Linked DNA regions of Oryzias latipes. The protein of the gene in region 4 interacts with the protein of the main gene of each other region in a pairwise test. Links are inferred from orthologs where the notes say so. Each region holds a gene or a part of one and is shown on either strand. Other genes may lie near its edges. The genes, in order: vcp; rad54b; keratin, type I cytoskeletal 13; psma1; hsd17b14; pomp; ccnh.

The links.
Region 1: the proteins of psma1 (region 4) and vcp interact in binary tests that used the Homo sapiens proteins (3 or more experiments, as listed by UniProt). The two-hybrid records come from large-scale screens. The link is inferred for Oryzias latipes from reciprocal best matches to the Homo sapiens genes PSMA1 and VCP.
Region 2: the proteins of psma1 (region 4) and rad54b interact in a two-hybrid assay, tested with the Homo sapiens proteins (2 studies listed by BioGRID and IntAct). The two-hybrid records come from large-scale screens. The link is inferred for Oryzias latipes from reciprocal best matches to the Homo sapiens genes PSMA1 and RAD54B.
Region 3: the proteins of psma1 (region 4) and keratin, type I cytoskeletal 13 interact in binary tests that used the Homo sapiens proteins (3 or more experiments, as listed by UniProt). The two-hybrid records come from large-scale screens. The link is inferred for Oryzias latipes from reciprocal best matches to the Homo sapiens genes PSMA1 and KRT15.
Region 5: the proteins of psma1 (region 4) and hsd17b14 interact in binary tests that used the Homo sapiens proteins (3 or more experiments, as listed by UniProt). The two-hybrid records come from large-scale screens. The link is inferred for Oryzias latipes from reciprocal best matches to the Homo sapiens genes PSMA1 and HSD17B14.
Region 6: the proteins of psma1 (region 4) and pomp interact in a two-hybrid assay, tested with the Homo sapiens proteins (2 studies listed by BioGRID, with this or other methods). The link is inferred for Oryzias latipes from reciprocal best matches to the Homo sapiens genes PSMA1 and POMP.
Region 7: the proteins of psma1 (region 4) and ccnh interact in binary tests that used the Homo sapiens proteins (3 or more experiments, as listed by UniProt). The two-hybrid records come from large-scale screens. The link is inferred for Oryzias latipes from reciprocal best matches to the Homo sapiens genes PSMA1 and CCNH.

The regions. Positions count from the first base shown.
Region 1 is NC_019867.2:13,580,823-13,583,419, forward strand, and holds part of vcp (transitional endoplasmic reticulum ATPase), read left to right. Parts: intron 1-120; coding exon 121-223; intron 224-371; coding exon 372-505; intron 506-697; coding exon 698-833; intron 834-1,893; coding exon 1,894-2,006; intron 2,007-2,208; coding exon 2,209-2,373; intron 2,374-2,476; coding exon 2,477-2,597. UniProt on the Homo sapiens protein: Necessary for the fragmentation of Golgi stacks during mitosis and for their reassembly after mitosis. Involved in the formation of the transitional endoplasmic reticulum (tER).
Region 2 is NC_019874.2:17,754,228-17,758,495, reverse strand, and holds the start of rad54b (DNA repair and recombination protein RAD54B), read left to right. Parts: upstream 1-1,468; 5' UTR 1,469-1,711; intron 1,712-2,190; 5' UTR 2,191-2,215; coding exon 2,216-2,353; intron 2,354-2,620; coding exon 2,621-2,801; intron 2,802-3,879; exon of another isoform or gene 3,880-4,268. Other genes in the region: RING finger protein 151-like, read right to left, coding at 52-69. UniProt on the Homo sapiens protein: Involved in DNA repair and mitotic recombination. May play an active role in recombination processes in concert with other members of the RAD52 epistasis group.
Region 3 is NC_019859.2:29,293,854-29,297,915, reverse strand, and holds keratin, type I cytoskeletal 13, read right to left. Parts: upstream 2,801-4,062; 5' UTR 2,627-2,800; coding exon 2,216-2,626; intron 1,934-2,215; coding exon 1,851-1,933; intron 1,772-1,850; coding exon 1,615-1,771; intron 1,541-1,614; coding exon 1,379-1,540; intron 1,289-1,378; coding exon 1,163-1,288; intron 695-1,162; coding exon 474-694; coding exon of another isoform or gene 470-473; exon of another isoform or gene 464-469; intron 377-463; coding exon 373-376; 3' UTR 363-372; intron 280-362; 3' UTR 77-279; downstream 1-76.
Region 4 is NC_019864.2:7,545,114-7,549,132, forward strand, and holds the start of psma1 (proteasome subunit alpha type-1), read right to left. Parts: upstream 2,801-4,019; 5' UTR 2,629-2,800; coding exon 2,626-2,628; intron 1,787-2,625; coding exon 1,742-1,786; intron 1,641-1,741; coding exon 1,539-1,640; intron 1,302-1,538; coding exon 1,198-1,301; intron 121-1,197; coding exon 32-120; intron 1-31. UniProt on the Homo sapiens protein: Component of the 20S core proteasome complex involved in the proteolytic degradation of most intracellular proteins. This complex plays numerous essential roles within the cell by associating with different regulatory particles.
Region 5 is NC_019866.2:3,307,114-3,311,128, forward strand, and holds the start of hsd17b14 (17-beta-hydroxysteroid dehydrogenase 14), read right to left. Parts: upstream 2,801-4,015; 5' UTR 2,631-2,800; coding exon 2,549-2,630; intron 2,474-2,548; coding exon 2,435-2,473; intron 2,350-2,434; coding exon 2,258-2,349; intron 2,162-2,257; coding exon 2,095-2,161; intron 1,997-2,094; coding exon 1,905-1,996; intron 1,182-1,904; coding exon 1,077-1,181; intron 1,007-1,076; coding exon 939-1,006; intron 10-938; coding exon 1-9. UniProt on the Homo sapiens protein: Catalyzes the NAD(+)-dependent oxidation of L-fucose, yielding L-fucono-1,5-lactone, which rapidly converts spontaneously to L-fucone-1,4-lactone. Can also act on D-arabinose and L-galactose, with lower catalytic efficiency. Does not use NADPH.
Region 6 is NC_019878.2:12,147,822-12,151,622, forward strand, and holds pomp (proteasome maturation protein), read right to left. Parts: upstream 2,371-3,801; 5' UTR 2,265-2,370; coding exon 2,262-2,264; intron 2,002-2,261; coding exon 1,904-2,001; intron 1,774-1,903; coding exon 1,713-1,773; intron 1,273-1,712; coding exon 1,171-1,272; intron 1,102-1,170; coding exon 1,008-1,101; intron 929-1,007; coding exon 861-928; 3' UTR 501-860; downstream 1-500. UniProt on the Homo sapiens protein: Molecular chaperone essential for the assembly of standard proteasomes and immunoproteasomes. Degraded after completion of proteasome maturation. Mediates the association of 20S preproteasome with the endoplasmic reticulum.
Region 7 is NC_019867.2:14,756,282-14,760,483, reverse strand, and holds the start of ccnh (cyclin-H), read left to right. Parts: upstream 1-1,402; 5' UTR 1,403-1,581; coding exon 1,582-1,698; intron 1,699-1,797; coding exon 1,798-1,920; intron 1,921-1,998; coding exon 1,999-2,072; intron 2,073-2,256; coding exon 2,257-2,470; intron 2,471-2,544; coding exon 2,545-2,708; intron 2,709-2,992; coding exon 2,993-3,063; intron 3,064-3,160; coding exon 3,161-3,266; intron 3,267-3,393; exon of another isoform or gene 3,394-4,202. UniProt on the Homo sapiens protein: Regulates CDK7, the catalytic subunit of the CDK-activating kinase (CAK) enzymatic complex. CAK activates the cyclin-associated kinases CDK1, CDK2, CDK4 and CDK6 by threonine phosphorylation.

The DNA.
Region 1 (2,597 bases), on a different chromosome or scaffold from region 4:
GGTACTGAATCACACAAGTGGTTTTGTGTGTGATAAATGGGATTGTACACTTAAAATTAAAAAAAAATTTTTTTTAAATAAAGCTCTCACCCCACATTTTTTGTTTTCGTTTTAAATAAGCCCCCTCGTGGAATCCTGCTTTATGGACCCCCTGGAACTGGAAAAACTTTAATCGCCAGGGCTGTGGCCAATGAAACTGGAGCGTTCTTCTTTCTTATTAATGGTATGAATATATCCGTTTGGATGTAAAGTTTTCTAGTATGGGTGAGATGATGCTGAAAGTCAGTGTTCTGATTGGCTATGCTTGTATTTATCTGAATCGTTGTGTTCAATGATATTTTCTTGTTAAAGTATCGTTCTCTCTATTTCAGGCCCGGAGATCATGAGTAAGTTGGCTGGAGAGAGTGAGAGTAACCTGAGAAAGGCCTTTGAAGAAGCTGAGAAAAATGCTCCTGCCATCATTTTTATTGATGAACTTGATGCAATCGCTCCAAAGAGAGAGAAGGTGAGTAATGTAGGGTGGTAACTTTGTCGGTGCACTATGAGTTTTAGGTTCAGGCCCTTGAAAGCACAGCAATTCTTTGTGTATCTTCTCTTTTAAATTCATGTACTAGTGACTGTATTGGCTATGTGCTTTAGATTAGCTGAGACAAAAAAAATATAGACACATTTTACTAATGGCACTCTGCTTTTTCAGACTCATGGGGAGGTGGAGAGGCGCATTGTGTCACAGCTGCTGACTCTTATGGATGGTCTGAAACAGAGAGCTCATGTGATTGTCATGGCTGCCACCAACAGACCCAACAGCATCGATCCGGCTCTCAGGAGATTTGGTAAACAGTCTTTAGAAGCCCTTAGGTCGCTCGTTTTAGATTTCACCCCGCAGCCTTTTATTATTTGAATGTCGACTAGGCCTGCACAATATACCGCAAATTTATTGTTATCGCAATATCAAGCTGTGCAATATGCATATCGCAAAAGACAGCAAATTTGCAATAAATGGTTACCTTAGATGTGGCCAAACAATCTTATGGCAACTTGAAGTGTTTAATGGATTGAAAGTATCCCTTTCTGCATTTGAGCAATCAGGTGGACCCCTTCACGTTGTTAACTAATCGGATTGCGCCCTATTATGTTGTATGTTCGCCTCCTATGTCAACAAGGGTCATTTGTAGTATAATTTTTAAGCTGTTGTAATGGAATGGGAATAATATTTTTGGTTGTTTTGCTAATTGTTTATATACCGCAAATTATATCGTTATCGCAATATTAATCACTGATATCGCATATCGCGAGTTTTCTTCATATCGTGCAGCCCTAATGTTGACTTAAAATGATCCTGTGCAGTTAAGACTTTTGAACATCAGACCTACTTTCAACCATAGAATTTAAGTTGCACTCTATTCCTAAATGTTTGGGTTTTTTTAAGTTTCATTTTAATAAGAAACTTTTTCTTGTTAATGAAACAAATTGTTTTTCCAAACCAGGTTTTCTTAAGAAATCCTGTGGCTTGTTCATTTTGTTTGAAAATGCATTGCAAGTTAAGCTGCTAACATGTTGAAACAAAATTTCTTGCTGGCACTTTAGAAACTATTGTCATCCCAGTAAGGATGAAAAAGTCTATTTCAATTCAAATAAATATATTTTGATTCAATTCAAATTTATAAATTTTCAATTAAATAACTTTTCATATTCTGATTTAAAGAAAAAAAAGAGAATTCCAATTTTTAAAATGGAGGTCAATGTTTTGCCTGGTAAAGAAATTCAACAAATTTAATGAATTAAGTTAGAAGTTTTTAAGTTGATGATCTTATAAATTTTAGGTTTTTAGATAGATGGTAAACTTCTTCATTTTCATTGATCCAATTTTATTTTCACACCTTTCCATTGTAGGCCGTTTTGACAGAGAAGTGGATATTGGCATCCCTGATGCAACCGGCAGATTGGAGATTCTGCAGATTCACACCAAGAACATGAAACTGGCTGATGATGTGGACTTGGAACAGGTTTGTGCCTTCAAAAGTCCTTTATTTTTGTCCAAAATACAACATGTTCAAGTAGATGCCTTTTTCTTGATAAATGATAAATTTCTTTTTTCTATTAGTTTGTGAATATTTTAAGTTAAAATGTAATTAATCATTATCGCAGGTTTTTTTTACATAGTGGTGTAACTTTGGTTTCTACAGTGAATTTGATTGTCTTTTGCAGGTTGCCAATGAGACCCATGGTCATGTAGGTGCAGATCTGGCTGCTCTCTGCTCTGAGGCTGCTCTCCAGGCCATTAGAAAGAAGATGGACCTGATCGACCTTGAGGACGAGACCATCGATGCTGAAGTCATGAACTCACTTGCTGTTACCATGGATGACTTCAAGGTAAACCTGTAATGGAATCGTTTGAAATCATATAGTAGTCCATTAGTACACACAGCTAGCACTGGGCTGGATCAATGCTAACCCGATCAGTGCTGTCTTGCAGTGGGCTCTGAGCCAGAGTAACCCATCAGCACTGAGGGAGACGATTGTTGAAGTTCCCAACATCACCTGGGATGATATTGGAGGTCTGGAAGATGTTAAGAGAGAGCTGCAGGAGTTGGTCC
Region 2 (4,268 bases), on a different chromosome or scaffold from region 4:
TCCTGTGCAGTTTACTTGTTTTTCTACTTATTTGCTTTTAATCTCTCTTACCTGAGGATTTGACTTCATCCAGCTCCTCCTGTATCTTGTAGACTTCACCTGCACCTGCTCAATCTATTTGATCACACTGTAGAGGCTCTCCTTCATCCTGAAGCAGAGGGTCTCCTGCTCCTCCTCTTCCTCTGGGAGAGCGTTTCTATGGAGAGCTAACTCTGACAACAATGGTGCAGGATACAGCCAGGCAGGCAGCTGTCGGACAAGAGCAGAGGGACAGACAAAAAAGCAGTCAAGTGTTTCACGAACTGTCTAAAGCCCAGTTGTTACACAGCCCTTAGAGATAATAGCTGCTCCCCTTAACGGCGAAAGTTATCTGAGGTTTCTCTGTTTGTCTAGAGCTGTGGGATTATCGTGGATTACACTCTTTTCGTCCCTGATTGGATTGCAAAGTACACACCATCGGATAGCACGTAGCACATGACAACAGGAATCAAAAGATCACCTTCACTGCCCATACTTATTACCCCTGTCCTTGAGTGTAATGGAATAAAGTCGAAAAGAAAGTAGTAAAAAGACCTTTCTAAAATGGTATGAAGTAAACCAAAGACTTCACAACTAAATGAAGTTAAACTTTCCAGATTTTCTAAACAAAATAGAGTTGGAAATATTAAAAATAGTGACTATTCACTAAAAAAAAGCTGCTTTTAATTCCACCAACAAACGGTTCAATTAATATTTGTTCAGATTTAGTCATTACTTTTCACTAAAATTATTATTTTGTTAAATGTACACCTCTATGCTCGATTTGCTGCTGTCATGGACCACAGAAAAGATCTGAAATACGTTTAGGAGAGCTACTCAAAATGTGTGGACATAAACTGGACTAATGCTTGGAATGTTAGTAAAAAATGTTGTTTAAATAACAAAATAAAAGAGGTGTCCTTCAAAATATCGCATTGTATATATCCTGCCAAAAAAAGAAGATTTGTTGATTTGTTGTTGAAAGAGGAAACCATTTATCACCTGTTTGTGGACTGCATACATACAAATATGTTGTAGATGGAAGTGGAAAATTATATAGAAAATTTAACTAAAAGAAACTGTACAATTTTTGGATAAAGAAATTATTCCGGGTTATCTTAATGACAATGTAGACAAAGATTGTATCTTTATTACATAGATGTTTTCATCATTTGCAAAATTCCATATTAATTAAGCCAAATGGTCCAACTCCAAACCTAAATTCCAGCATTTTTTGAATGAAATCAATCAGTACTGTAACATTATCAAACAACTGCAAAACCAAAAGGCAATTCGAACTGATTTGATTTTTTTTTTTTAATTTCATACACTGTATACGTATTTGTACGTATACATAATTTTTTTTTTTGTTTTGTTTTCTTTCTGCAATGTACATATTCAGTAACCCCTGAGACGTTCACTATTTTGTTCTATTGTGTTATTTGTCAATAAAGTCTGAAAAAAGAGGTTTAGGCATGCTGAAAGGATTTGGCTGTCCAGGTGTTCAAATCAAACATGCTTTTTTCTCATTTGACCACGCCTTTTGTTGACTTTTAACCAATCAGAACCCCCAAATAATTCAGCGGGAGACATGTTTCGGAAGTTGCCTTTTCCGCTTACACTGTGGGAAACTTATCAAGTTGAATTGGACGATATTTAAGTAATTCTCCAAAATAACATTTTCTCGTCGGTGGTATGTATCACGCATTGTTACAAAATATCATTACGGCCGATTTAAACTTTCGACTTGACCACGTGATAACAGTTAAACACAGCCTGTCGCTGACTTTACTTACTTCAAACTAGTCTAAAAGTAAAAATCAAAAACGACAAACGGAACCTGATAAAGGACAAAATACATAAATTGTCACTAGAGTCAACAAAAAAGTTTCAAAACTGTTTGTTGAAGAGTTTATATTTATATTGCGTTAATAGAAACACATTTTCTGATCCTGAGTTGCTAAAACGTAGAAATCTTTAGTCGGTTAAGGTATTCTAAATGCAAAAACTAAAAAAAATCACTAGTCTTTCTTGGTAAAGCATGCCTGTTTTAGATCACTTTTTTTCTTCTATACCTCTTTTTTCTTTAAGAATTTCAAAGGTGTAGCTATTGAAAAATTGCCTATGTTTTCCCCATTGTGTTTCTAAAATGTAGTTTATTTCTGTTTGTAGGGGGCACATTGACCTTTTATAAGGAATGAGGCGTTCAGGAGCACCCAGTCAGCTTTTGGGGAATGCAGTGAAAAAAACACGATTTGTTTCACCAGCTTCACTACTTCAAACTGAATCAAAGCCTTTGGCCCCCAAACCGGGTTTGGTGAATGCATTGGATAAAGTAAGTTCCTATTCACTGTGTTTAATTCTCAATTTTACTAATTTCTCTTTTTTTGAGTAGCTTTTGCAGTTTACCTTTTGGCATATCCCTTCAGGGGTCACCACAGTAAATCAGCTTTTCTAAATCACTAGAAGCAAAGAAATATCCACGTTCAGCGGTTTGACAGTCATATTTTTTTGCCTCATGTAAATTTAGTTGCAGGGATTACTAGGGACCAAAATGAGGACTCAAGTGTGTGTAATTAAACTGATATCACTTCTTTTGCAGGTCCAGAGAAGTCTATCTGTGGCAGTGGAAAGTGAAATAAATGTGTCTGCTAAAACCAGCCAAACTGCCCCTTTGTCACGGGCTCTGGCTCGAGTTCTCAGTGCTACTGACAGTAAAGAAAACGAGGCTGACACCAAATCCGTCCCTGGATTAAGAGATTTAACAGAAGATGAAAATAAAGGTATGTTTCTAATTGTTTGTGTAAATTTATAAGGCAGTACTACTTCTGTTGTATCCTAATGTTTTGGGGAGTCATCAGTAAAATAGTCCCTCTGGTCTACAGTAGAATTTTTTTTTTGCCCTTTATTTTTATACTTAATTTTTGTTTTTTGGTGGTTTTGATCTGACTCTTCAGGTAAACATATTTTGCAACCCAGTTTGTGTGTTTCATACAGCACTTTTTATTCAGTCTGACATACAAGTTTAATTTATCTACTGAAAAGATGTCAGTGTTGTAAAATAATATGCTTGACGGAATTAAATAATATCTGAATTTACTTTATATAACACTTTCAGCTAAACTGTAGAATTTATTCATCATCAGCATCAACAATATATATTTACTTTGTTTAAACTTATCACTTGTATTTCCTTAATTATCATAATAATGGGAAAACAATTTGGCTTTTTTTCTCTAACCTGCTCCACCAACATAAGCATGTCCCTTACAAAACTTTACAGACACATACACACACATACTTCCAAAAGGTTTTAGAAAACAATGCTTAAACATTCAAATTACCATTAAAGCTGACAGATCTAATTAGAACTAATACTGGATTTGGTATTGATCTTATAGACATTGCTAACGCTTTTAGTCAATGACATGACGTCTCACCTCCTGGGACAGACTGTCCAGGGTGTACACACCTTCGCCCAGCATAACCGTTACAGGTACTGTTCAATTCAATTCAATTTTATTTGTATAGCCCAAATTCACAACAACAGTCGTCTCGATGGGCTTAGTATCGGTAATTGAAAAAGTGAAACATGAACTCAAAAGGATCATGAATACAAAGAGTTCAATAGGAAAATTCTAAAATGAACTAACAAACTGACTAAGCTATACTGGCATCCCTGCCCTTAAACCCCTTTCACGGTAAGGAAAAACTCCTAAAAAAAACGGACTCCGGAAAAAACGAAGAAACCTCAGGGGTGCCTCCATGAAGGAGGGATCCTCCCCCAGGACGGACAGGCGATTTACCAGAACTCTTAGAGAAGAATTAACTTATCTAACTCTACAACTACATATTTAAAGTCCAGCAGACGAGCTTTATCCAGACGGAGTTGGGGGGACAGTAAGGGGCGAGAGTCGAGCAGGAGACAGGATCCAGAGCCAGGTGTCAGGGCAGGAGCAGAGACGAGGTACACGGTCAGGTGCAGAGCAGAGACGAGCCAGAGGCAGGATCCACAGCCAGGTGTAGGACAGTAGTACTGTTTGGTGATTTGGTTCGGACGGGTATCAAATTGCACAGCGCCGCTGAAATCGCGCTGCTGCCAGACCTTTGCACCACACCCGTCGCTTAAATCACACCACTGGACCTCAGCACGCGTCTCTACCATGTAATTAACTTTGAAAACTGGCTGCCTCTGCCGCGCCACTCGCGTTCGGTGTGAACACAGCATTGCCCTATCCATAAGACATGCT
Region 3 (4,062 bases), on a different chromosome or scaffold from region 4:
CCACACAAACAAAGTGAGGTCATGGAAAAAGAATTGGAAGTCGTGGGAGAACAGTGAAGTTAGAACAACACAGGTCTTATCTTCACCAGCAGGTTTATTTTCTTTGGCAGATCACACAAACATGAACACACACACAGCGCCGCACATCAGCTCTTCTTCTCATGACAGCAGATGTTGGGAAAACGAGCCTTTTGGTCTCCTCTGGTTTCTGGCCTGCATGTTGGACTTCTTGGCTGGACGTGGGCACAGTGGTGGTTGTGAATGTGTCATTGAAGCCTCCTGTTAAGAGGCAGGGAGGAAACTGGTTGAGCACAATTCTTCAAGTTCCTCCTGTGAACTTTTCCTCAAATAAACCAACTTACCTGCAGTCATTTATCTAAAAGGAGAGAAGAAGAGATGACAAAGATGAGTCAAAGAGGATCAAATCATGTATTTCTACTTGAACGTTTGTGATTGTGTGCACCTTTGTCTATCTGGCCTCCTCAGTCTCCAGCAGTCTCCTGTAGGTTGCGATCTCCTGCTCCAGCCTGGTCTTGATGTCCAGCAGCATCTTGTACTCCTGGCCCTGGTGCTCAATGCTGCCGCGCACTTGGCCTAGTTCGCATTCAAGCATGTTGATTGTGTTCTGGTAGCCGCTAAGCATGGCGCTGAACCGGCCCTCTGTCTCTGCCAACGTGTTTTCAAGAGCACCTTTCTGTTGGGGTAAAGAAAAGCTGTGGATCACTGATCCTGCAGCTGCGCTCAGCGCGCCCCACCCTGGATGCAGTATGTCACTCGGTTTGTTTGCTTTGCATTTTCTCCTGTTTTGTAAGAGAACAAAGAGAGCTGGCTCTGAAGGTAAGTGTCCCTTTGCCTCTCCTCCTCAGTGACACAATGGCAGTGGGAGGCTCCTGCTGAATGACTGACTGCAGCTGGGCACCCAAACCCCAACCAGAAACAGCCTCTCATTCCTCCAGCTTTTTTATGACTTCCAGAGTTCAGGCAGATGTCTGTGAAATGTTTCCCAGAACAAAGTGTCTCCCTCCCACCTTCCATCCTCCCTTCATTCCTTAAGGATTGCCTCTCTTTCCCATCCTCCCCTTCGCTCCTCGCCCTCTGTTCTGGGCGATCTGGGGATTTTGGTCATATAAGGAAAGATTTTAAAACAAACGTTTGTCTTTACCATGCTGAGCTGGGACTGCAGCTCGATCTCCAGGCCCTGGAGTGTGCGCCTCAGGTCATTGATCTCTGTCTTGGATGTCTGGATTACTTCTGTGCTAACGGCCACCTCTTTGCTGAGAGCTGATGACTAGAATTTAGAAAAGAAGACAGAGTGAGAGGTCTGTATGATTATACGTGTGATGACAGGTTGGCCTGCTGACAGAGGAACTCCTGTTACCTTCTCAGTGAACCAGGCTTCTTGGTCGCGGCGGTGTTTGTCTGTGATGGCCTCATACTGTGCACGGATCTCCTCCATGACTTTGTTCAGGTCCTGCTGAGGTGCAGCGTCCACCTCCACGTTGACTGTGCCCGTGAGCTGAGAGCGCATGGCTGCCAGTTCCTGCAAACATCAGGGGACGTCAGCATTGGTGTCTGTTTGCAGAGACTATAAAAACCAGGTGTCACATCACTGACCTCCTCGTGGTTCTTCTTCAGGTAGGCCAGCTCATCCTGCAGACCTTCGATCTGCATTTCCAGGTCAGCCTTTGTCAAGGTGGTCTGGTCCAGCAGGCGGCGGAGGTTAGCGATGTCAGCCTCAACTGACTGTCGCATCATGAGCTCGTGCTCAAACCTGGTAAGTTAGGAAGAGGCCTGATGTTAGACAACTGCCCGCTAGAGCCTGCATGAAGGCCCTCTGAATCAGTGCTTACTTGGTTTTGAAGTCATCAGCAGCCAGTTTGGAGTTGTCGATCTGCAGCAGGATGTTGGCATTTTGGACGGTGGCACCGTTGATCTGCAGCGGGGATGGGGTTAGTTAGTGTCAGGCATGTGCAGAGCGGCACGCTTTGATGACTGTTTACACAACTTCAGATGTTTCTGTTACATCAACTGAATTGTGTCCTTAGGGCACGTTTGACTTCCTCCTGTTAAGCTGTCATGCTGAATATTTGTGGTTCATTTGTGGAATCTTTCAGCCGCAAAGAAAACACAGATATGTTCACTTTAAAAAAGTGTTGTCTGGAAATCATTGACAGGAACGGCAAACATTTGCAGGTGGCAGAGGCACAGACCATACCTTGTCTTTCAGGTCATTGATGATGGCCCAGTAGTTGCTGTAGTCCCTCTGTGCTGCCGGGCCCTTCTGCTCATAGTACTCTTTGATCTGCTTCTCCAGCTTGGCATTGGCCGCCTCCAGACTGCGAACCTTGTCCAGGTAGGAAGCCAGACGGTCGTTCAGGTTCTGCATGGTGGCCTTTTCGTTCAGGTGCACGGAGCTCTGGTCCATGGCGTTGGACAGGTCAAACCCTCCACCCATTCCAAAGGAAGAGGAGACGGTACGCCCGGTGGCAGATGAGATGCGGGAGCCTCCCATGAAGCTGAGACCGGACACGCTGTGAGCTTTGTGGGGAGCAGCGCTTGAAGTGTAGCTGCGGCTCTGCCTGGTGATGGTGAGCCCAGGACCGCTGGCGATGCTCCTGTTGTACATGGCGGCTGACTTTCTGCTTGTCAGAGGAGAAGACGAGGAGACGAGTGTTTCACAGCTGTGGACTGTTGCAGGACTGTGGAGTTTGATGGAGGGAGGACGGCCGTTAAAATAGCTTTGAATGTGGGGCGGGCTCTGAACGTGGGGAGGAGGAGGAAGTTTCTGCAGTCAAGGCTCAGGCTGTGCAAAACCGTCATTTGTTTTCTTTTAAGCTCTGGGATTTGGTTATTTTCCACCCCTGTGAGGAAAGTGGTGAGGAATGTGAGCAGATCAGAGGAGAATCTTCATGGGCACCCTGATGATTCCTTGTAGAATGTGAGCACAAGCAACTGTAACGTGTGCTCAGAAATACCTGCAGGTATTGTCCTGATCATGCCAGTCACTTGGCAGCTCAGTGCGAGAAAAGGAAGGGTAGATTTATTGTTTTGTTGCCCCTCCGTTAGTCAATAGTCAGTGTGAGCGGCATGTTTCATCCTGATAATATCCACAGTTACGGTTTAAACCTCCCAGGTGTATTATTTCACTTTGTTTGTCCAGCTGAGTTTAAATGCGTTCTGATAGTCTGAGCAGTCAGAGGCCCTCTCAGGAATTCTTTAGGAGCCAGGATGGATTCTTGTTATCAGCTCTGTTTAAATTCAATCATTTTGTCTGTATGTGGTCAGAGCTCACATAGCCGACTGGATACTTGCAGGCTTTGCAGCCTCGAACCACAAACATGTGATGTTATCCACACATTATCATTCACCCCCCTTCATTGTTCAGGAAATCACACAACATCCCGTCTCACATGTGTTGGTCTTGACCTGATGTGTGTTAGTGTGTGGAGCTTATCTCAGCCTGGTTCTTTGCACAGAAACATCTGGCATCGGCTGCGGGGGGAGGGCTGCCTCGTCAGGAAGAAGTGAAGTCATTCTCCTTTGGAGCTGCCAGCAAAGTTTGCTGCTCAACTCCCCCCAAAGCTGCACACACTTGCATGGAGACAAACCGTTGTTTGTGCGATGGCCTCACTTTGAGAAGAAAAACAATCTGGTTTGTGCTCCGAGGATCAGAGATCTGTTCCATCCATGCTGCTGTACTTTTAACGCTGGAGGAGGTGGGTCCAATCCCGCCCAAGTCCTCTACTCCAAAGGAAGAAAAGTCATTCCATGATCGATTTAGATTTCTCTTTGGTTCATTCACTGCATTTTATTGATTGATAAAGCAGATGATGACATTTCCATTGTTGATAGGATTCTGTGTCTTCTTCTGAACACAGCGACTCCTGCATTTTTCTTATGGATTCTCAAGTGATTGTTTGTATGTTATAGATAGAGGATCGACGTTCAATTACGTTTTTAGGTTTTTCATTTAAGGAAGCAACATATTAAATCCAGGATCTGCAACAATAGGAGCCTCCACATTTGACCACTTTGTCTATAAACCAAAGAGGACCAGATTTG
Region 4 (4,019 bases):
TTGAACAGGAGAGTGTATTTTTAGAGGATACTGCTGCCGATTAAAGACACGAGGCGGGATGTGGGGAGAGGCCTGTCGAAGACAAATCTGGAGTCCAAGCACTCCTGACGCATGAAGTTACTGCAAGACAGAAAAGGTTTTGGTCTTCAGACAAAAGGCCGTTCTCAGGTTCGTGCTCAGCACTTGACTGTAGATGCTGCTAATGATGAGGCCAACAGCAAACATTCAGCTGCTTCTTCATCGTTACAGAACAGAGCTCCATACTGCAACGTTTGTTTGTTTCCGGATTCTGTAGTCCGGGCAGAGAATGAGAGCTGCCTGTTGGTTGTTTCTCATTATTAGAGAGGAGAAAAGTGAACTGGGCTCTCATCGGCTCTACAGGCAGTTTCCTGATTGGTTTTTCTGCTAGTCCTGTAAAAACACTGTCACAGTCATCAAGTCCACTAAACGTGAATGCATCAACTAGTTTCTCCAAGCTCTGTTCAAGACATCCGATCTTTAATACTTGAACTATTTTTAAGATGTTAGTCTGCAGATTTGGTGACTGCCTTAATGCATTTATCAAAACATAGGACTGTATCCATGACTACACCCATGTTTCTGGCCTAGTTGGTGGTTTTTAGATGAATAGATTGAAGCTCTATATGACATCAAACCACTTCTCTTTAGCCCCAAACACAACAAAAAGTGTCTATTCATCATTTTCCAAATATGTGTTTCTGCAGCTCATCGCTTCTCCAGTGGATGGATCAAACGCAGAGAACACTGTTCACCAATCCAGGAGCGTAGCTTTAACTTTCATTTTAAATACGACAAAATGTAAAAATGGATGCACTTAAAATGCGTGCAGGCAATGCGCATCTTGGCTGCAGTTTTTGTGCTGGTTGCAAGTAAATACATGCGAATAACATCAGCCAAGGCAATAACCTCAGTTTTGTGTTTGTTCAGCTGAAGTAATTGAGGCACATCCAGTCTTTCATATATTAAATACTTTTACCAAGAGCTTGTAGAGGGCCTTGCTCTCCTGTGATTTCTATATCTGTTTGTCATCTGTGTAACGCCATAAATTAACCAATGTTAGTGTTTAGATGTACAGTTGACACCCATGAAAAGTGACATTTCTCCCCAAACACAAGAAGTTTAACACAAGAAAACATGGAAAAAATGTTCAGGTCCATGGAAGTCGCTGCAACTCACCAGAGCAGCCGAGCGTCCGCCGTCAGTCCAGCAATGGAGATGCCAATGTGGTTATCAACATGAAGGATCTTCTTCTGGTGGGCAGCCAGCTCAGACTGGGCTCTCTGCAGACCAAAAAGGCACAACAGTAATGTGTGGTGTGTTACAGATCTTTAACGACATGTTTTAATTAATAAGAAAGACAGGAAAGTGCCGGCTAGTATGAATATTAATGGGTGTAACCAAACACTGTCATGGAGGTTAAGGCTCAAATAACACTAAAGGAGAGTTGAGCACGTGAAAAGAGCCGTTTCAGCGTAATGGAGGCTGGCAGCAGTTCTAGTCGTGTTGAGTGACGTTACCTTAAGTGCAACCAGGACCGCGTGAGTTCTGGACTTCAGTCCGACGGTTGCAGAACCTTGTTTCACAGCCTCCATGGCATATTCGATCTGATGAATGCGGCCCTGCGTTTGCACCGACAAACCAAACAGTCAAACTACACACAGCCGGACAAAACCAACACACAAACAACAACACACGCTCCAGTAAGTAAAGGGCAGCTTACCTGAGGACTCCATACCGTTACGTCGTTGTCGTACTGATTGCGGAACTAGGAGGGAACACAAACGCGCGTTATGATAATAACACAGCATCCTTCTCATGATCTACAGCCAGGCTTACATAGTTGTCCTGCATTAGTACGGTTAGTGTTCTCGTCTCTAGACTCCAAACCAACTGCACCGTGTTCGCGGTCAGAACGTCTCATAAGGATTGGAAGGACGCGTTTCAATTACTACAGACTGAATAATTAATCAACCTGTTCGTGTCATCCTCAAGAAAAACGATTGAATCCAGCAGTGGATGCAGCAAACCAGCTAGCTACCTGCTGCTTCTACTAATTTAGTTCGGTTCTTATTATCTGTAATAAAATCAAATGATTTAATATGAATATCATCATCATGATACGTGAAATGATCCCAATGGCTGTAACTCCATAACTGACGGACTACGTTGTGTTTTTAAATCTAGAAGAAAGCGAAGAGCTGAAGAAAAACGAAAGTGAAGACATGACTGGACTCCCGATGCTAACTTTTAGCTAGCTGTTAGGATTAGCTTGTTCGCAACAAGGTATTCCAAAAATATTACATTTCTAATCTGCTATTTGCAATGTTTTCTCACTATTAAACCTGTTTTACTTTAACAGTTTAAAGTACTTAACTAACTTCTATTGTTTAGAGTGAGCTAATACTTAAAGCTAATGTTAGCGGCTGTTTTGCTTACTCACAGTGCAGACCAACTTAGCTAAGCTAACTTTAGCATGGAAATATTTTAACAATTTCTTGAGGCTTAAAAAGTAACAGTTTAGGATCGAATGCGTTTTCTTACATTCCTAGAAACGTTTTCTGGTACCGAACGGAGGATTTGTCGTTAAATTTCCCTCACACTTACCATCTCTGCTAAAGTCTCGCTTCCTCCGCCTGCGCCGGGATCTCGATTTAGTTTCCTGGGTTCCTCGGCAGACGGCAGGGAAAAGCAGCAGAAAGCCGATTTCAAACGATCGATGATTTCAATGATCGATGCCTTTGAAGAGCCGAACAGAACCAGCAGAGCTATAGAATAGAGCAGAATAAAATAGAATAGAATAGAATAGAATAGAATAGAATAGAATAGGATTAAAACACAAACAAACAGACTCGTGGTTTAAATGTCAACATAATAAACAAAACACAAGTAATACGTCAGAATTAAAATACTAGTTAGACAATTCTTCTAAACTTTAAAAATATAAAAAAACGTTACTAACCTAATGGCGTCCATACCAGTTAATAGACTAATTAAAAACCATATTATTTAAAATATTGTGTAAGATGCTTAATACTTGGGCAAGACACTGAACCCCCACTGAAATACTTAATATTAATAATTCTTTTCCTTATTTTTTCCCTTTTTTTTCCTTTTAAACATTTTTTGGGGTACAAAAACCATCACTTTAAAAACAATAAACAATAATTTCACAAGAAACAAATTCTATAAAAGTCTTTATGGTCAAATAGTATCTAAAGAGTAAATGTTTTTCTATCAATTTTGATGTTTAATATTTTTAAAACAAGCATGTCTAGTTGTGCAACAGTACTAGGTTAAGCGTGAAACATGCATGTCTTTACCAAAGGAAAAGAAAATCCAAATGTCACTGCACATGCTTCAAACCAAAGATTGATTTCGGCATCTTATTCTGCAATGGTGGTATTTCATAATTTACTATCTGGACCACATGGTTGAGATGTGATTGTGCTAAAGACACTGATTTAATGACAGTTGTATCTGGACATGAAGAAAACTGTTAGTAGTTTTATTGTTCTAAAACTTTAATCAACTAAAACAAAGATAAAAAACAGTGCAGCAAACCTGCAAAAATCTGCAAATAAATAATAAAGTTTTGCATGATTTTATATTGTTTTCAGTCTGAATATTTCACCCTCTGGTGATTTTGTAGGAAGTTTGTGTTCAATTACTTAACGAGCTTTCAGAGCAGACAGGTTAAATTCACATCATTTCCACATCATCCCTGTAGTCTATTTATTTATTTGAAAGCTGATCTCTGAGGTGACCCCTGAAGGGATGTGCTGACAGGCGAACAACAGCAGCAGCATTTGTCATATTTGTGTTATAGTCACCGTTTACCCCGCTGCGGTTTCTTTACACATGAATTTGAAGAAGGAAAGCCGAGAAATGGAGAAAGAGGTTGCATCAACATTTCTTGGTAAAAAGAATCCTAAATAAAGAGTATTGAAGCAAAACAAAACAAAACAATGTTATTAATTCCAACGTCAGGGTTGACTGTT
Region 5 (4,015 bases), on a different chromosome or scaffold from region 4:
GGAGAGATGCTGTCCCACATCACACAAAGGTGTTAGCAGGGCAGAAAAGACCGACAGATGTCAAAATAAAAGCAGTTTTCTTTCTTTTAGTAAATATCCTTTAAGACCCACTTAGATGATAATAGAGTTTTGGGTGTTTTCAACATGTTATTGACATCTTTTTCTGAGGATTTAAAAAAACAAGCTTTAAATTTAACTTCTATATATTTCTTTTTTCATATTGTTGTGAATCAGGAGCAGATTTTTTTTTTAATCCTGCTGCTCTGCAGAAACTATGTTTAACACAGATTAATGTGATACAATTTTTAATTTATATAATTAAATGTTTGTTAGTTTGCCGCATTAGAAATGAGGCTTTTAATGTTCTGTTTTTTAACACAACTAGAAAAAGCTCACAAAAACTAGGAGCTTCTGTGACTGCAGTGTACCTGCACTTTAACATACATTTTTTCCTCTCTCCTCAAATAAAATGTACATTCATTCTTGGTCCAGCTTCGTTTTGTTTGTAGTTTGTAGTTCAGGTCTGGATGAACGTAAAAAAATGAGTACAATAAAAAAAAGAGGGGAGGATGGAAGTTCCAAAGCGTGCAATAAATAAATAAATACATGTTAGGGAGTTACAGCCAGAGGAAGTAACAAAGGACATATTATGGCACATACATTAAGATTTAAATTTAGTATCAAGAGATGGAAGTCCATAAAGAAAACATTCATAGTTACTTAAGAAAAACAAATACATATATACTAATATTTTGTTCTTTCTTCAATTAATATCTGAAAAGTAGCATTAAAATATTTAAAAAAGTGCATAAATGTTCTTACTAAACCACAAAGGGATGGTTTTACTGCCTTAATGTACATCAGTTATCAATGTGGTCACAACTGAGTAATTTATTCTTCAGCTTAAAGTAAGGCGTGGAGAAGTTGGGATGCCTCACCAGTTCACTCTCACGTGGTATTGGCTCTCATCCACAGCCATCGCCTTCGTCATGGAGATGATCGCCCCCTAGTGGAGAAAGTAGCGCATTACAGGAGCCGCCTGACTGCCTTAAGAACATCCTTCCAAATTCACTCACTTTCGTGGCAACATATGGCACTGCATCTTTCTGACCAATAGAGCCCACGAGACTGGAAATATTAATGATGTTTCCCTGACGCTGCCGCAGATATGGCAACGCAAACTGGAGGGAGACACACAAGGACACAAGATGTTAGAACAGTCCTAACTGTGTTCTGATTAGGGTTCTTGTTACACTCTAAAAAAAGTATTTGGGCTGTAGTTGGAAATATTAACTTTTTCACATTGATCTAATTTAATTATTCAGTTTGGTGAAAATAAATCGTTTTTTGAGTTCATTAAACTTAAAAATGACATTGTTATTTTACTTTTAATCAACTTAATTTGATTAAGTTGGTGTAACTTCGGTGTGAAGCTGTCAATGCGTCAAGACATCATGATAAAGAATTGTGGGATACCATTTTCTTTGCCTATCTAGGCAGATTGGGGTTTAAGTGTGAGTCCATGTGTTTTGTTGTCTAGCTGTTTTAATTTAAACTGTTGTGTTTCTTTCTTTCTGCACCATGAGTTAGAGTTGAGAGGATGATGTGATTTAATTAAGTTAGATAAACTTATTTCTTTTTTAGAGTGTAGGGTTCTTATTAGGAAAAGTTCATTTTCTATTTTGGACATTCATACACTACAATTAAAAAGAAAATCCTTAAAACAAAATGTTGTCCTCATAAAGCATCTTTGGTACTAAAAACTAACACAAAAAGAAAACTGTGAACCAATGTTTTCATATTTTTACTACTAAAGGCTCTTTTTATAGTGATTTTGCAGTTTTATTCAAAATAATTGAAACTAATGTAAAATAAAATGTTCTTCTAATCATAGAAAAGTTTACTTTGGAAGCCAGGAAGTAGCTGACGAGGTTCAGGTTGAGCAGATCTCTGAATTCCTCAGCTGTGGTGTCATCGATGGATTTGTGCGGAGGGTCTGAAAATCACAACAAACAAACAAAACAGCAACCTAAAGGTCTCCAAAAATGTCTTCAACACGTCTGCAGGAGGCCAGAGAGGTTTGAGCAGACTCACGCCAGCCTGCGTTGTTGACCAAGCAGTCGATGTGTCCATGCAGCTCCACGGTGGAGGAGATCAGCCTCTGTGGAGGTGGGTGGGAAACAAGCCCCTCGTCAGACTGGATGACAGAAAACGCCAGTCTGGTTGGATGGATTCTTGTAATAACCCAGAACTTCACCTTGATGTCCTCTTCCTTGGTGACATCACATCTCACAAACTTGCAGGATCCTGGTCCGGTTCTGTTCAGTTCTGCCTCAACAGTGTCACCTTCTGCAATAGTGACACAATTAAGACACTTCAAATAGGCCTAATTTGATAATGTACAAGAAAAGGGAAAGACTGTCTCTTTGCTGACCTCCTAATGCACAAAACACCACTTTGGCTCCATTTCTCACTGAAAAACAAACAGACTTTCAGGGAACTGGACTTGAACCTGCAACCCATTTGGAAATGTGGACAGATCCAATACCAAAGGCCTCGGTAATCCCTCTGCCGATTCCTCTAGACCCTCCAGTCACAATAACAACTTTGCCGAGGTAGCGGAAGGACATGGTGTTTGCGCTTTTCCTGCACGGATGTGCACGGAAGCGCCGCAAAGCCGCGAGCCGGTGCGTCCCGCAGCGTCCTGCAGCAGGAGAGGCGAGCGGCGGGTCTGTGCTCTGCGGGAGACTCACAGAAACACCGCGACTGGGCAAAGGTCTGCGTCTGCACCGAAAAAGAAACTATGCTGCATTCAAGCGCCGCTGGGAAGACTGGAAACTCTGAAATTCTTCAATCCTATTAAAAACATTTTTTTTTTTAAAAATCTGAAAGGAATTTGCTTTCGAATATATTACTTCTCCTTTTAACTGACAGTTTCGTGAGAATTTAGATAAAAAGAGGAAACATTTCTGAAGTTCCTTTAAAATTTGTTAAGTCAGCCTGTCTTTATTTCTCCTTTAAAAAATAAAATAAAAAGGTAGAGGCCCAGAAATAACTTTAGACCCGAAAAACGTGGTGTTTTTATTTTAACTTGTCCTGTCCAACAACCGAGCTAACATACAAGAGCTGAAAGCCTTTTGAGTTGGACAGATTTGACTATTATGGATCTTCTGACAGCCAAGGTGTATATCTGTATAAACCCCTTTTAGGTTTTTATTTTAATTGTTTGTTATTTATTTATTATATTTTATGTTTTAAATATATATTTTATTTCTGCTGGAAAGACAAATGTTACATCCAAAAGTGAAAATCTGACACCAAGATAAGTGGAAGATATCTGTCCATCTGTGGGTTAGGAGGAGGGATAAAGCAGACAGGGATAAGTGTGCACGTGCACATGCACACCGGGGGGGGGGGGGGGGGGGGGGGGAGATGCAAGCACGCTGCCAAAGTGTACCATGTGATCATTAGGGGGACCAGATCCTCCCCAGCATGACCGGTAGGACCAAGAGAGAAGGTGCAGGAGACCGCCGTTTGGGCCCCAAGGCCCAAATGGAGGGGACCCTCCTAGGGGGCCCTTCCATCACTGCGGAGCACAGGATAGCCCGCCGTTTGGGCCCAAGGCCCAAATGGAGGGGACCCTCCTAGGGGGCCCTTCCATCACTGCGGAGCACAGGATAGCCCGCCGTTTGGGCCCCAAGGCCCAAATGGAGGGGACCCTCATAGGGGGCCCTTCCATCACTGCGGAGCACAGGATAGCCCGCCGTTTGGGCCCAAGGCCCAAATGGAGGGGACCCTCCTAGGGGGCCCTTCCATCACTGCGGAGCACAGGATAGCCCGCCGTTTGGGCCCCAAGGCCCAAATGGAGGGGACCGTCCTAAGGACACCCTAGGGGGCCCTTCCATCACTGCGGAGCACAGGTTAGCCCACCGTTTGGGCCCCAAGGCCACAGGACAGGCACATCAGACGGCCGCCATTGGGGCCACCGGGTGCTGGACACCGGGTGCTGGACACC
Region 6 (3,801 bases), on a different chromosome or scaffold from region 4:
AGACACCTGTCCACAACCTCAAACAGTCACACTCTGAACTCAACTATGGCCAAGACCAAAGAGCTGTCTAAGGACACCACAAACCAAATTGTTGACCTGCACCAGCCTGGGAAGACTGAATCTGCTGTAGGTAAGCAGCTTAGTGTCAAGAAATCAACTGTTGGAGCAAATGTTAGGAAATAAAAGACATTCAAAACCACTGATAATCTCCCTTGACTTGGGCTCCCTGCAAGATCTCCCCCTGTGGGGTCAAAAATCTCAGAACCACACAGGGGGACCTAGTGAATGACCTCTTATCTTTTTAAGTGGAAGAACTTGCACATTTGGTGGCTGACTAAATACTTTTTCCCCCCACTGTATTTCTCTTAGCAGATTAATTTTTTTCTATTACTGAAAGGCCCGAGACACCCCACAGAGGGAAAAAAAGTGATTCTGTTTGAGGAAAACAGGATTGGATTAAATTGCACACAGACAGTCATCAATTAAGGAAAGTATCTTTGGAGGAAACAATTTATTAATCACTAAACACTTGAGTCATCATATGGTGAGAGGAAGAGCTTCCGCTCTAATAATTCCATGCTTTAATTTCAACATAAGATTCCAGGTAAAAAAATAAAACTGGAGCCATGAATCCACATGAACAAGGAAGTTATGAAATTTATTAGCAATAACAACCAACTTCGTTCACACAAAAGTATCACTAAATGGCTGCTTGGAAATTATTTGTACATAAATGCAAACCAAAATCTGACCCACTGTTTGTCCAGATGTTTACTACAATGTTCCAGTAAGAATGAATGACTTAATCTAATTAGGAACAGAAACCTAAATATTTGAGTGGGTAGCGAATTCTGCAGCTTTCACAACAATCCCAGCTTGTATTCCACCATCATGTGTGGCTCTCCCATCATTTCACTCTGAGCTGGATCTGCAGGAAGACAGTCATTATGGTTAGATTATTGTAAATTATAGTACTTTCTGTGACTCTTTTTAGTTCAAGCTCTCACCGCCGAGGATGTCCTCAAAGCCGATGGTGTCATCGCTGCCTCGCAGTGTGTCGAGAGCCAAATTAGAGCTCTGTAAGAACGGCAGACGCTGGATCTAGAACACAAAATGAAGATTTTGACTAGAGACTTAAGCAGAATTACATGGGGTGTTGTTGCCACATACCTGTCTGGCTGCCCTGTACTCCATCTGCAGTTTGAGGGGAGCATGAAGACCCTGGATGTTTCGAAGTGTTGAGAAATTCATCTTGTCCTGGTTAAGCACAAACTACACCACACAAGAACAAAATCATGTAGTTTTAATTGGGTGTTAACTGTAGTGCAAAACATTGTTTGTGGCTTTAAAAGATCTCAGAAAAAACACCATGGCAAAAACTATTTTCATTAAAGATCATGAAATGTCATTAAATACAAAACATTATAACAATCAAAACAAACCATTGATGATGTAGAAAAAGCATCATCTTTCTCCAAAAGATAATAGATGTACATATAAAAGATAGATGTCATTGTTTTTGGTAAAAATGTAGATTAATCCTTTTTATTTAAAGGTAGCAAGATGTAAACGGATAAACACTGACCAGTAAAAGAAAAAAGTACCATTGCATATATATTCCAAAGCTAAGAGAGGATTTTTATACTGAAGTTTTATTTTTTATTGTTTAAAACAGTTCTGGTGAAAAACAGGGATGGACACAAAAAACTTACATTTTTCTCTGACAGTTCCAGAGGATGGCTTGGAAGAAGCTCATTCTTCACACTGGTGAAGCTAACATATAGAACAGAAAACAACCCATGAAATTAAAGCATATGTTTCTGGAGGTATACGCTCTTTAGCTATCAAGAACATATAAACATAAAGCAGAAACTAGGAAGCATCGTGGTGATCGGTTTCCTACCCGCTGCGGAGAGAGTCCTGGATCCCGTACGATCCCTGTGGGCACAGTCCGGCCACAGGCACGCTGTCTTTTAATTGTGAGCGAAGTCCCCGGGTGTTCTGTGGTTCACAAAAACACACATTTCTTGTAAAATACAGTTCAAACTAAATTCATTCATTTTTGCGATGTGGACTGGAGGTTTGCTGCTAACTAGCATTAGCGTAAGTGACTAATCGAAATCCCATCCCATCAGTATAAGGACAAAAACAGCGAAAAGCAGCAGTACAGAAAGGTTAAATAAATTAAAGGAAAATAAGATTAAATAATCAACGTGGTTAATGTACAATACTAAGTATAACGATTTAAATGTCTCAATTACCATTGTGATTCAGTTTTCCTCACTTTACTTTCGATGACTTCGAACTTCCGGTTGGGTCGCACGAAGAAGACGACACATCCGGAATAAAAAACAAACATCAGCCAAACGTAAATAAAGCTAAACATTACATTATTATTCCTGTTGTGAAAAATAGTAGGTATTGGAACTTTGATCCCTAAAATATTCGTACATACCTGGAAACAGCGAATAGGATGTACCGTGTCCACCTGATCCAACGATAAATACCACAACTAGACGCCTAACTCTCAGGCAACGGGGGTATAGCTCAGTGGTAGAGCATTTGACTGCAGATCAAGAGGTCCCCGGTTCAAATCCGGGTGCCCCCTCTTTTTCTTACGGTGGTTCTCATACATTTGAAACAAACAAATGTTAGTTGGCTATTAAAAACTACCATGAAAAAAAAAAACATCAAAGATTTGATTTATTTTGTATTTCTCTTTGTTCACTTCAGATGATTGACTTCAGGCCATATGTAAGGCACCTGTGCAAAGCAAAATATTGTCTTTTTTGACTGAGGTAAAAAATGTTTCACCCACTGAGGGTTTAAAGTTCTGAGGACTGGACTTCTGCTGGCACTGAGATTGTCTTTGTCTTTTTGAAAACCTTGAAAACCTTTCAGCGCTGCATAAGAAGTGAGAAATATTGGCTTCTGTTTATGGTTTTGTATTTGAATTTACTCATGCTGGGGAGTCTGACACCCCACAGAAATGAGAACACAGGCCCTCTGAACGGTTGTGGATGCAGCCTGCAGAGTCCTTTGCTGGGGTTCATGTTCTTTCTGTGTCACGAAGCTAAAAGTGGGACAAGAAGTTGTGTTTTACAAATAAATCTTAATGTTTTTAATATTGAATTGAGTATGAAGCACTTAACTAATTACGAAGAAGTGACACTTGTATTAAAAAACATCAAACCACCTCCAACCTTTAATATATTTAATATCTTTGCTTGATTTTAAAATGAAATTTCAACAATTAAATATTTTTTTCAGCTTACAGCATCAGGTATCTTAGAGGGAATTACCAAAAAACTTAGATCTAAATCTAACTTTTTTTCGAAACCATATTTATTCATTAGCTCATGGATTTTTCTGAAGTGATCACTTCAGAATGTTTTTGTAACAAATTGCAGAATTGCGTAATCTAGCAACATCGCTGTCATCAGTGTGGCAAACTGCTGGAACACCTTTTACAATAAAAGGTTCACAAAATAAAAGTTAAGGAAGAAGATTTTAAATAAAATAAAGAAAACAAAAGTTTTACTTTGAAATAATACTAAGGATCTTGGAAGGTATCTGTTATACAATGACATTTCATTGAGTAAACACTTTCAGAAAACTATGCATTTTTCAGCACCAACCACTAGAGGGAGCGGCTGATCAGCAACTGAATTTGCACTAAAGTTCAAAAGTGCTTTGAATCAGAAGAGGACGCTTGTCTTCCATCACACAATGAAGAATGACTTCTGTACCATCTCCCACATTATTTTCACATTTTGTTTATTTTCAGGAAAAGCCATGGTA
Region 7 (4,202 bases), on a different chromosome or scaffold from region 4:
ATTGATCAGAGCTGTGGAGGTTTTTCCTTTAGCCTCGTCTGCACTGTCAATCTTTCCATAACTTTGCAAAATATCTGGGAATGCTTCTATAAGCTGCTGAAATACTGACGGGAGGGCCGATTATGGGATGGGACTAACTTAATCAGGCAGCTCTAATGTGTGATCTGGTAATGCCGAAGTCTGATTTTCCATTAAAATGCTGCCTGTCAGACTCCGTATGATTTAGATTTACTCACAAGATGGTATTCCTTTGATAAAAAATATTCTAAACCACCAGATACTCACACACAGAACAATCAACTGCAGTGTGCTCACATTCAAAGAATAAGAGTCATTCTGCAGAGTTCAACATTTAAAGAAAGCAGTCAAGAAAAAAGAAAAAAAACGTGACAAAGATGTAACACAAGACTAAAGGCTTCAAATGAGTCATCACACCCCAAATGATGCGAAATAGCAGGTGGAAAGGTGCCTGACTGTCAACAGCAATCGTGCACGCACACGCAGACAGAAGGGCGCATGGACGTGCGTGTGCACGTGAGCAGACGAGTGCGCAAACATACAGTAAACGCTGCAAAGGTGTCATCAATAATGCATCAGCGCTTCATGTTTATGCAATTCTCAGGGCAACCCGAGCCATGTATATACGGGCGAGAGCCGTGCTCGCAGCAACTGCACCGCACGTAATAAGGCGTTTGTCTGTCAGCTCAGACGCACGCGCCGCGTCTCTACGCCTGTGGAAAGATTAGTGTTATTTCTTAAAAAAAAAAAAAAAAAAAAGTCTTCAGCACATACCTGTTAAAGCACTATTTCTTTGATTTTGGTTTATGCAGGCTTGAAGGGCTTCATGATAACACGGCACTAAGGCGGCACTGATATGCAAATTATCAGCTCCAGCTGAATGCTAGGGCATTTATTATTCATAAATTACTCATGTTTATGCAAATTACGGTATGCAGAAACACTACTGGTGGCGGAGTGGCTCTGGCTAAAACATACTTTCTGAGTCTGTTGGAGACCATCTACACTGGTACAATGTTACAATAGCAAAAAAAATAAACAAGGATGTTTGTACTTTAAATTATGTTTCAAAATGATTGTGTGCACATCAGTGAGTCCATTACATTTAATTATTCTGATTTTGTTTAGGAGGAAAGACTTAAAGGTCAATATTTACAGAAAAATAATTGCTTTCCACCTCAACAATTTGTTTGTCCAATTCATGCCGTTAAAAATAAGTGAGGTAAAAATGTGTACACTTCAACATTTTGTTAACTTTATATTAAAGAAACATAATTATAAATAAGTTTAAATAAAATGAGAAATTGAGTATTTCATAAGGAAAAATCATAGCACGCACTAATACAGGAAGCACGGTAAATGCGTCATCAACAAGGGTCCGCATTACGTAAATATCGCGCGACGTCCTCACTACTACTTGGGGGTGAACAACACACAGCCCGATTTAACTACTTTTACACTACGCTGATTACTTTAATCGTTCAAGGATTTCCGTGTGGTAAAATACATAAAGCTACTTTAGGATTATGTTGTGGTTTTAGCTCTCGTAAATCAGAAGCCGCCATGTATCACAACAGCTCTCAGCGAAAGTACTGGATCTTCAAAAGTGAGGCTGAACTTGAGCAGAAAAGATGCAGTGCCAATGAGGCATTTCGTAAAAAAGTCATAGAAAGTGGGAAGGTAGGTAACATTCTTTTAAGCATTTTAAAACGTTTAATGTAAACGGTTTGGGGGAAAAACGCGATTTTCTTTTTTAATTAAACATTTATTTGAAATCAGGCAGGTATGTATGAGTCCATGTTCTTGAAACGGAACGAAGAAGACGTTTTATTCCGCCATTATGAGAGGAGACTCCTGGACTTCTGCAGCGCTTTTAAGCCTCCAATGCCCAAGTCTGTTGTGGTGCGTGTGTGTCTCATTTCTTTTTTTTCATGTGTACAGACTCGACTAACTCTTACTGGAGCCCATCTTTTTTTCTAGGGCACTGCCATCATGTACTTCCGGAGGTTCTACCTCAACAACTCTGTTATGGAGCACCACCCAAGGATCATCATGTCAGTGACTGTCACTGTGGAAAGGATAAGACATTAAACATTCGGTTCAAAGATGCGAATGGTTCATTCTAAAAGTTTAAATGCAAATGTGATGTTTCTGCAGGAAGATGGGAACGATTCCGTTTGTTCATATATTACAAACATGCATGTACGTTTCCAGCTGTTGACGTACCTTCTTGTCCAGGCTGACGTGTGCATACCTGGCCTGCAAAGTGGACGAGTTCAACGTGTCCAGCACCCAGTTTGTGGGCAATCTCCTGCATGAGACGCCAGCTGGACAAGAACGGGTTCTTCAGCAAATCCTGGAGTATGAACTGCTGTTAATCCAACAACTCAGTTTTCATCTCGTGGTCCACAACCCCTACAGACCGCTAGAGGGTTTGCTCATCGACCTCAAGGTTTGTACCTTACAGAAGAGAGCTGAATGTCACTCCAGATCGCCAGTTTTTAATCCGTGTTCTTTGTCTTTTAGACTCGCTATCCTGCACTGGAGAACCCAGAGTCACTGAGGAAGAGTGCTGATGACTTTCTGACCCAGGCGGTCATGACGGATGCCGGACTGCTGTGTTCTCCCTCTCAGATCGCTCTGACAGCTATTCTGAATAGCGCTTTAAGAGCTGGCCTCAGCATGGAAAGGCAGGTTTGCTTTAGCCTTAACAACAATGTATGTGAAATTCAACTTAATTAGAAAAACAAATTAGGTTTTGCAAGTTGAAACTTGGAATTTAAATGGAAAAGGTATACATTATTCTGGAAAGAAATTGATCAAATGAAGGTGGTGACAAATATTTTGAAGAAAATTCTCTGAACATTTCCTCCTTTTCAGATATTTCTAAATTATAAGCTCAGTTGGTGCAAAAAAGTTTTTTTCTTATATATATTTTTTAAAACTAAAATCCTATTTTATTTTCCTTCCCCAGCTACCTGACTGAGTGCTTGGGACTGAAAGACGACAAAGATTCCCTCTCAAAGATTTTCGACTTAATGAGGCGTAAGTCAACTTGCACTTCAGTGTAACACCACTAGATGGCAGAGTTGTGCTGTTATTCCTGTATGATGTTTTGAATTCATGCGTTTGGCACATGCAGGAACAAAAAGCCTCCTCAAGAAGTATGAGCTCCCCAAAGCAGAGGAGGTGAACGTTTACAAACAGAAGCTGGAGAGGATTCATGCAGAGTTTAGCAGTTCAAGCAAGTAAGAAACATAAAAACACACATGAGCTCTTTTAAGTCAGGATTTCAATCTTTAAACATTGTCAATCTGTGATTCCTGCTGCATTATTTACCCACAACAATAGCGACCGAGAACAACAATCCACGCGTATGTAGTAACCGTTTATTTCAGCCAGGTTGTTGTATCTAAGATGCAAAAGGTTCAGTATTGGGTAGAAAAATAAAAATGAACACATCCTCGTCTGTTGTATGAAACCCCTACATCAGTGGTACAGCCGATGAGTCGCCTGGGCTCATCTGCCAACACTCGGTGAGGTCCGTGGTATCTTCAAGTGCAACTACAGTAAACAGTTTGGTAAACTATGACAGGCACAGATCCAGACGTTGCAGCTGCTTAGAACATGAAGGGAGGCAAACAAAGCCGACCCTTTATGACTTTGAAGTTTAGAAATCGCTGCATGGCGGGACTTTTCAGGGTGAATCGGTGGGAAAAACAGTCAGAGCAGAGGTGTACTCGGAGGACAAAGCAAAAACGCCATCTTGTTGTAATGGCGGAGAAACGAGGAGCTACAAGAAATCCAGGCTTTCAATGACATCAAAGGCATAAAAGGGGTTTAGGTGATGGTTGTTGGAGCAGCAGATACGTAGGCCCAAACATTGTCGCTGTATCCATTCAGGGTTAATGCATGCACAAGGCAGGCTACAGGTGTATACTACAAACCTTTAGACTAATCTCTGCTCCGCTATATCCTACACAAACACTTCTTTACAAGCCTAAGTAGGTAATAACAGACAAAAGCAGCGTAGAAAAAAAGCAGGAAGTGGTTTGGGTGCTGTAAGCAGGTTCATACATGAAGACAGTAACGGATATAAATAGTTTGGAAGAAGAGAACTTTGTCGAATCGGGGGATGTCGGTGAGCAGAAATGGAGTTAAGGCTTGTGTTGATTCGTTTCTTT